Drosophila melanogaster: one gene and its partner. The protein of the gene in region 1 purifies or fractionates together with the protein of each later gene. This does not show direct contact. Each region holds a gene or a part of one and is shown on either strand. Other genes may lie near its edges.

Region 1 (4,955 bases):
TCAAGTTGACAATGTTTTATCTTTACGGACATACATTATATTTCGGCTGAACTTCTTCGCAAATAAAAGAACTTTCAAAGTTGCAATTCCGATCGTTCATTCCTGGCGATTTTGTCGGTCTAAAATCACTTCCCAGTTCATCGCAATGCTCCTCATTATTTTTGTTATTTGGTTCTCCCCCGTACCACAAATCCGTTGACAAGGGCTGTCCATTGGAAAACCAAACATGTTTTCCCTTGGTTCCCAAATCCGTTCCGGAGGTCCAATATCTCTCGAAAATGTTATTAGCTAAAAGGTATTCGCTTACCAGGCGCAATTCGTCGAAAGTTTCAAGAGAGATTAATTCCGCTTGTTGTTGTCGACAAATTTCGTAGGCACCAAACCAATTTTTTTGAAGTTTTCGTTCAATGAGATAGTAACTGTTCCCGATCCTAACAAATGTGTCATTAGTTGTCTGAAGCGCCTCAAGAGCTCCTAATTAAATAATCAAAAGTCAATTACTTTATAATATATAAAAACAAAACTCACCGGCAACATTTCTAGAAACCTCAAACAGGAATAGTGCTACCAAAAAGGTAGTAGATCCAGTCAGTTTAACAATCATTGTGGTAATGATAAAAAATCCGGAGTTAGCCGTCAAGGCTCGCTAATTTCGTTAATTTAAGATTTTATTCGCTTATCATCTCAATTACCATGGGTAATACCGTTTAAGTTTTACATTTTGTATTCTAACAGTTGAATGTATGTAATGTCTTGAACAACTATTTTTAGTCTTACAGGACTGTTTTTATTTATATTAGAGGTTTTTAAGTTATTTCTTGTTAGATTAAGGAAACTTACCACAAAAAACAAACAAAAATAACGTATTTTGTAACATTTCAAATGTATTCGATAAAATGCCATCGATATATTTCTGGTCAGGTAATAACATCGAATATCAGAAATTATGTAAAGATAACAACGTGCAGTTGGTGTAAACAAAAACAAGAAAAACGTAAACAGATCGGATTCATTACCAATCCATTTCCAGATTGAAAACCCATTAAAGACATGTCCGACGAGTACGCCTGCGTGGCCAAGGGCAAGCTTAAACTAAAGAACGATTCGGATCTCAAGAAGAAAAAGAAGAAGCACAAGGGCAAGGACAAGGAGAAGGAGCTGCAGAAGGCGTTCGTGGAGCAGCAAATAGCGGAATCGGGGGCCACATCCTCCTCCGCCACCAGTGGCTACGAGCGGAAGCTCACCAAGGCCGAGCTGGCCAGTAAGAAGCAGCAGGAAAAGATGCGCAACAAGCGAATCATGGACAAGGCACAAACCACCCACAAGGAGCGCGTGGAGAAATTCAACGAGCACCTGGACACGCTCACCGAGCACTTTGACATCCCCAAGGTGTCCTGGACGAAGTGAGGCGACGCCGCTCGTAACTTAAAGCATACATTTATTATAAGGTTAAGTAATTTCGACTACGTTTCAACCTGGAGCGCAGGAAAAGTGAGAGGGGAGGCCAAAATAAACAATCCAGATGGCACAACTAAGCTAAATACACAGGCATATGTAGTTACAACGTAAAGAGGGGTAGTTTCCAACTTTCAGTCCATTGTCCTTGGAGGGCTTTTGATCTTCTAGCGCGGTGCAATTAGCTCGTACATGGCGTACTTCCATGTCCACGCGCGCACCAGTTGCTCGAACCTTTCGCGCTCGTGCTCATAGATGTATCCAAGTTCAGGCTCCATGCAGACTTCGGTATACGGATCGGTCAGCAGGCTCTGCACAGAAAGCAGCACCTTGGCCACGTTCAGCGCCAGAGACCAGTTGTGCTGCTGGAAGATGTCGATGCCCACGTCCCCATGCCGCGAAACATTCGGATGCAGGATTTTGGTGAGGAAACGTACTGTGGGCGGCGTCATCGGATATCGCTCCGGGAAGTATATGAACAGGAAGAACTTGCCGCCTTCGTAGGGACTGCCCGGTGGCCCCAGAATTGTCGCCTGCCAGTAGTTGTTTTGCCGATCCAACGGTATGGCCGATATGCCCTCAGATTCGTAGCTGTTCAGCAGATTGGCTTCACCGCGCAGAAAGTTGTTGCGCATTACATTGCCCGGCTCCCGATCGCCCAGCTGTGGATCTGCCTCCTGTGCATCCTGACCCCGACCGCCCATCTCAATCAGGCAAGTGCGACAGAAGCAGGAAGACATCAGTGCCCCGTACAGCCGATACCAGTTTGGATTGTCTGCCAAACTGTCGAACAGCGGCCAGCGCTGCTTGATATACGCCTTCCACATGCTCTGGGCCGTGTTTTTCCCGACAATGTCGTGCCATTGCTTGCAAACTTCACTAGCCATCCACAGCGACATGTCGTCCAAATAGGCAAATATTTTCAGCATCACCTCGACGGGTATTATGTTGACAATGTTTCTGCTGCTGCCACTTGCTCCGCTTCCGCTGGCGGCGTTGTATTCATGCACTCGCGCCCTTCCATCGGCCAGCTCATGCATGTAATGGGGCAGAGCCAAGGGAGCCGTGGCCCGCGGACGCTTAATGGGCAGCAGGAAGGGATTAATGGCTCTCTCGTGCTCAAAGTCGCGCTCCGGAGACTCGCGTCGTGGTGCCGCAGCCTCCGGCACCGGCTGTGGCAGATCTATAACTGGTTGGGCTGGCTGTTGATCCTGTGGCTCCATTGGTGGCTGCGGATTTGGATGTTGTGGCACGGCTGCCGGTTGGGGGTCCTCCAGATCCTCAAAGCCCATGATGTCTACGTCGTTTTCGGTCTCCTCGTCTTCCTGCTTGTCCTTGAACGGCGGCTCGTCGTTCCCAGAATCCTCGTCATCGGAAAGCTCCGTGAGCAGCTCCTCCGCCCGCTGTGCGTTGTACAGGAAGGCGTGGCAGGCGCCGCACAACGGCTCCCCGAAGTTGGGCCCATAGTAGCCGTTGCACACCCAGCAGGTGTTACTATTCTGCAAATTGGAAAGGCTATTTATTAATCGGCCCGCAAGAAACTAGCCTATTGTATACATACCGAAAAAGAGAAGGTCGGCTCTACCAGCTGGTGGTGTTCCTGGTCCGGATCGTCCGGGTCGTCCATCTCGTCGCCACTGCTGGCCAGTTCCTTTAGCAACTGCTCCTGGTCCTTTTGCTGATGCGCTGGCACGCAGCTAGTCATTTTACAGAACTCCCGAGAAACTGGTGCTAAAACAAATAAATAATCGACAAACGATAGACCATCTAAAAGTGTTACCAAGTGGTGTTAGCTTCAAAACCTGTCAAACAGTGTTGTGGTTATCGGACTATTGGTCGGTCGATAACCGAATCAAAACAAGTGCTGCTAACTTCACACGTGCAGTTTATGTGATATTCATCAGCAAAATGAAGGCAAAAAAGAAGTTGGGTAGGTAACGTCGCTACGAAAGTAATTCTTTAAACGTCCGTTTACCCCGCCAATTATTTCAGGCGTGGGATTGAGCCGCCAGGAACGACAGGTGCTCGTCATCGGGGAGATCATTCAGGAGCTGCTGAAGGCGCACGAAGCCAAAAAGGATGTAAACCTTAATCGGATGAAATCATTGGTGGCCTCCAAATATGGACTGGACAGTTCGCCGCGCCTGGTCGACATAATTGCTGCCGTGCCGCAGGACGCCAAAAAAATTCTGCTTCCAAAGCTGAGGGCAAAGCCCATTCGCACAGCAAGTGGCGTAAGTCGCACTTGCTTACACAAGGCGTACTATTCATTTCAATTATTTCAATCCAGATCGCCGTGGTCGCCGTCATGTGCAAGCCGCATCGTTGTCCGCACATCAATATGACCGGCAATATATGCGTCTATTGTCCCGGCGGACCGGACAGCGACTTTGAGTACTCGACACAGTCGTACACAGGCTACGAGCCGACCTCGATGCGAGCCATCCGGTCGCGGTACGATCCTTTTCTTCAGACCCGACACCGCGTTGAACAGCTGAAGCAGCTGGGACACAGTGTGGACAAGGTGGAGTTCATCGTAATGGGCGGTACGTTCATGTGCCTGCCGGAGGAGTACCGCGACTACTTTATCCGCAACCTACACGACGCCCTCTCCGGCCACAGCAGCGCCAATGTGGCGGAAGCCGTACGCTACTCGGAGAAGTCACGCACAAAGTGCATTGGCATCACCATAGAAACAAGGCCAGATTACTGCCTAAAGCGGCACATATCGGATATGCTTAGCTATGGTTGCACCCGGCTGGAAATCGGTGTGCAATCGGTTTACGAAGACGTGGCCAGGGATACGAACCGCGGACACACGGTGCGAGCGGTGTGCGAGAGCTTCCAGCTGGGCAAGGATGCTGGCTATAAGATCGTGACGCACATGATGCCTGATCTTCCCAATGTTGACTTTGAACGCGACATCGAGCAGTTTATCGAGTACTTTGAGAACCCTGCCTTCCGCTCTGACGGCCTAAAGATCTATCCCACGCTCGTCATTCGCGGCACTGGTCTCTACGAGTTATGGAAAACCGGGCGATATAAGTCATATCCGCCATCCATGCTTGTGGACTTAGTGGCGAAGATTTTGGCCCTTGTACCACCATGGACGCGAGTGTACCGCGTACAGCGCGACATTCCCATGCCGCTTGTTAGGTAACTTGTCCGATATATATATTAAATAAACCTGACATTTTTCTTCATTTTAGTTCCGGCGTGGAACACGGAAATCTCCGTGAACTGGCGCTGGCCCGCATGAAGGATCTTGGAACCACTTGCCGCGATGTTAGAACCCGCGAAGTTGGCATTCAGGAAATCCACAACAAGGTGCGCCCTTACGAAATTGAGCTAATTCGTCGGGACTATGTGGCCAATGGCGGCTGGGAAACGTTCCTCTCATACGAAGATCCTGAACAGGACATTCTCGTAGGCCTTCTTAGGCTGCGAAAGTGCTCACCGGATACCTTCCGCCCGGAACTGAAGGGCGAATGCTCCATTGT
Region 2 (4,514 bases), on another chromosome or scaffold:
AAACGTCCTGCACCCATACATACACACTCTCTCACAGGATTGGATGACTTGCAATAATCCTCAATCCGCAAACCATATGTTCCGGCATTTTGCCAATATATTCGCTCCGTTGAAAATGGCCCTAATTTAGTTTTTATTCCTACGGCTTCGCGTTTGAAAGAGAGAGAGAGAGACCGAGAAAGAGGGGGCTTGTAACTGATGTCGTCGACAGCCATCCCTCTCGCTCGCACTTATTCCAAGCCCTTTTAGCCCATGCACACACACGTTTAACAAAAATCAATTAACTTGAAAGCACATGTAAAAAAAAGTATTGATCCACAAAAAACAAAAGGCACTTCGGTAATCCTGGAATACACACACTTACTGCCGAAAATATTTAAAATGAATGGGTACGCGTATATATTTATATGCTGGTGAACAAAAGGCGAGCATAACAAAAATGTCTTATCGATTTGCATGCGCAGCAGACAGTAATTGCAAATCTTGTATTTTCTTGAGTCTGTGCAACAACTGAAATACCTTTCTGGGCATAAACTATCATAAACACAAGTGGGTGGTGCTGGGAAACATCGCTGGAATTGAATATTTGTTTGTTGGTCGATTTGTTCTGAATGGAAACGAATGTCGTTTGCAAATTGCTCTCTCAGCTGTTTACAAACGCATACCACATAACGCAGGTGAGAGAGAGAGGGAGGCATATGCGCAGTGAGAATGGAAGATGAAGGGTTGCCAAGTGCGCAAAGGCTTGCAAATTAAGTACACTTGTGTGCGGGGTAACCGAAAAACGGGTGTTTACAATAAATTTCGCTGGGTGGATGTAGCTTTGTAATTTGAGTTCGCCAATTTTTTTTGTTGTTAACAGCATTTCGAAGCGGTTGCCAACCCTAGACGCTGGCTGGTTGCATGGTAACGAAAAATGGCGGCGCCTGTTACACACACTCACACACACATGCACGCACAGTCTGCTGTGTTTATGCACTTCATGCTGTTCCGATTTTTTTTTTGCACTTTTTCGATTTGTTGTCTGCATTTACCTTAAATGAATTTATTAACTAAGGCGATATTGTGCCTCTCGCTCAATCTCGCAAAACGATGCTTTGTCTGCTGCTTCTCTGTGCGTGTGTCCGTCTCTTTCCACGGCTTTTCGTCGAGACTCACATATACAAACGGCGACACACTGGATTGGAGCTGGACTCCGTTTTGGATGGCTTGGCTTTGGCTGCGTACCCAAAATAAATCGCGCTTGCAGTCCCAAATCATTTTAGTTCTTGACGCCTTTGTTCCACAAAAACTTCCAACCGCCGTCCATGGCTCGTGCTTTCTCTTTCGCTCGCGAGACGCTCCAAAAGTCGCGAGTATGGGAAGAGAATGTATCCCTCGCTCTTTCACGCCTAGAAGCGGCTGTAGCACACACAAGCACACGTAAACCCAGCCGTATGCATATACATATATTCCCTCTACTAGCGAGACGTGTGTACGTGCGTATGTATGTATGCTTTTTTCACTTCTTTCTCCTCTGCGTTCTTTGCACCAAGTGTCGCTGTTGCTATTTGCTACCGCCGCTCCTCTTGACGAATAAGTCGGGACTTGTATCAGCTCTAATTCGGACTTAGTTTACAAAATGCGGCTGCTTTTTTTCCGCGATACTCGGATTAGTGATGTAAAAAGACGTTGATGCTTCGACCACTGAAGTCAGTGCGATATGTATCGATAATTGAATGCCATCGATTGCTACGATTAAAACTGCCACCGCAGTTAGCGGAGACGCTCACCATTCTCTATTCGCCATTTGAAAGTATCGGTGTAATTTGTTTTCAGAGAAATTAATTTCCGTTTACTGTGCAATTCGGTGTGAAAGTGTTCAGATTTATCAATGCGTATTCTGCTTTCGACTTCGCCACCAATCTGTGCTGCAAGTTACCATTACCAGGTCCACCTGGTTCCCGCCAGTTTTCTTTCATTGTGGCTAGTTGTTGTTCGTGCCTTCGATAAAGACGTTTAGAGGTGTTTTTAGAGTTTCGCCATCTGGTCACTATAGCCGTTTCGTTTTTTACGTGAGTATTGTGAATTTGGTGTGTTGATTTATATCTCAGTTGGAGCCTGCGTGGAAATAGTGTCAGTACGTTTAAAGGCATCATCGTAAGGTTAGTCGGAAAACAAATAAAAAGCCTACAAATAGCAAGCAAGAACGCTTTCGCAACCACAAGAAAAACGAACATACGCACGCATCCATCTGTGGTAGAGTCGGCTTGTGTGGGGGTGAGTGGATGTGTGGGTGAGCATTTCTGGAAAGTGCCGTTCTCTATGTTTCGATTCTACTTATCCCTTCATCACCATTTCATCGTTGAATCATCACGAAAGAAACATCGAAAGTGCACAATCGTTTGTTATCTTTGTACGAAAACAACGGTGATTTCCACACAGGCATAACCTGCAAGAGTAATACGATACAAATTTTGATCTGATATGACCTCATTTTAGTCGGTTTGAATTTTAAAGAGAGCGACTCTGCAAACTGCAGGGATATGAACATACAAAATTCACAAATGATTGTTTGCATCCTAGTTGCTTATATTCATTTACACGCATGCTTATATGCTTACATCTGTTATCAATAATTGACGACTTGGTGCATGCGAAGCAAACGCATTGAAATGACTATTGGGATCCACACACTGTTAAAAAACACACTGATTGCACTGCCACACATTTCTCAACTAGAACCTAATGTTTTATACTGAACTTAACTGCAGGAAAGCCCAAAATGCCCAGCATCAAGTTGCAATCTTCGGATGAGGAGATCTTTGACACGGATATCCAGATCGCCAAGTGCTCCGGCACTATCAAGACCATGCTGGAGGACTGCGGCATGGAGGACGATGAGAATGCCATTGTGCCGTTGCCCAATGTGAATTCGACGATTCTTCGCAAGGTGCTTACCTGGGCTCACTACCACAAGGACGACCCCCAGCCAACGGAGGATGATGAGAGCAAGGAGAAGCGCACAGACGACATTATCTCATGGGATGCAGATTTCCTAAAAGTCGACCAGGGCACACTGTTTGAGCTGATATTGGCAGCGAACTATCTGGACATTAAGGGCCTTCTGGAGCTCACCTGCAAGACTGTTGCAAACATGATTAAGGGAAAGACTCCCGAGGAAATACGCAAGACCTTCAACATTAAGAAGGACTTTTCGCCCGCCGAGGAGGAGCAGGTGCGCAAGGAGAACGAGTGGTGCGAGGAGAAGTAAAGCGCGGCATTTCGCGGGACCAACATTAAGTTGAAACAGCTAGGGGATTCGGGAACGAATTGGATTTGCAGCATTGCAACTTTACTTAGTTGCTACTTTCATTTACATTTTTTTTTATTTTTAACCCCAGCAGAGACTCGATTTAAATTGTGTATAAATGATCTGTTGCTGATTTGATTCGCGGGGTTCATTTTTTGTCGTAAATATATCTCATATACATACATATGCGAGATTGTAACACTCTCTTTAACCTATTGGAGTAACACTTGATTTCACTTTAATAAATATAACTACCCAACACAAAGACACAGCCTATTTTGTGGGCTTCCCGGAGGGGTTAGGGTCCAAGGACTTCTCAAATTAAGAAGTGCTCTTTATTCGTTATCTTGTGTTTAGAAACGTTTGCAAGCGTTTGAAATGGATACGCATGCCATTTATGGTCCAGTCGGTAAAATTTTACGTGTTCCCAAGAAGGTACATATATATCTTAGATTATCTTATCTATAGAAACTACATTCATAAGATCACGCTTTCGGCGAATAGCGAGTAATACTGTAGCTGCCACTTTGCCACTTAGTGTGCAATTGAAATGCGCGCCAACGCATGTTCTCATATGCGGAGCGTTTAGCAGCCCTTAAAAAGCTTTTCATGTTGCTTTTAAAAAGCTACGACGGGTGTGGAAATTAGATTTGTGACGCTTTATATATCTTTTTTTTATATCGTCTGGGGTACAGCATGGTTTTAGGATTTTAGAAGAAAGCAGTAATTTTGTAAGAATCGAAGAACGGGGGGATATTTATAATTTTCATATTAACCTTGTCTTTGTTTGCTTTTGAAATTATGAATACTTCGAAAGATAATTATCTTGTGCGCATTCCATTCTGGCTTAGACTGGGTTGAGCTAAAAATGATTTGAAATACAAATTTTTAGGTGTCCGCTGATATATAAACAGTATGATGTTTTTGCACTTTTTTCCCTGAAGTTTTCCTTGTTGTCTCGCTTGCCAATGCTGAACAAAGTAGCCAAAGGACCTTTACTTGAAGCTTTGAGAGCGGAAAATATATTCGGGGACAATTGCTTTAAGTGTGCACTAGGCTTGGCTAGATGCCCGTGCCAAACTTTCTTTGGAATTGATCGCTGGCCTTAGCCAAAAGTGGAAAAAAGAAAGGATAGGATAGTGCCGCACGTATTAAGGGTCTTCTTACAAAAGGTAACTGATATTAATTCATTTGCATACTAAGCAAGCTAACTCATCTGTTT

What was found.
Region 2: the proteins of morgue (region 1) and SkpA purify together in Drosophila melanogaster (affinity purification with western blotting; 3 studies listed by BioGRID, with this or other methods). This does not show direct contact.

What each region holds. Positions count from the first base shown.
Region 1 is NT_033779.5:4,441,448-4,446,402, forward strand, and holds morgue (modifier of rpr and grim, ubiquitously expressed), read right to left. Parts: upstream 3,234-4,955; 5' UTR 3,161-3,233; coding exon 3,017-3,160; intron 2,955-3,016; coding exon 1,623-2,954; 3' UTR 1,423-1,622; downstream 1-1,422. Other genes in the region: Sfp24F (seminal fluid protein 24F), read right to left, coding at 23-474, 529-604; CG15432 (uncharacterized protein), read left to right, coding at 1,051-1,407; Elp3 (elongator complex protein 3), read left to right, coding at 3,364-3,385, 3,448-3,689, 3,746-4,611, 4,665-4,955.
Region 2 is NC_004354.4:654,346-658,859, forward strand, and holds SkpA (SKP1-related A), read left to right. Parts: upstream 1-1,768; 5' UTR 1,769-2,439; exon of another isoform or gene 2,440-2,753; 5' UTR 2,754-2,764; coding exon 2,765-3,253; 3' UTR 3,254-3,554; downstream 3,555-4,514.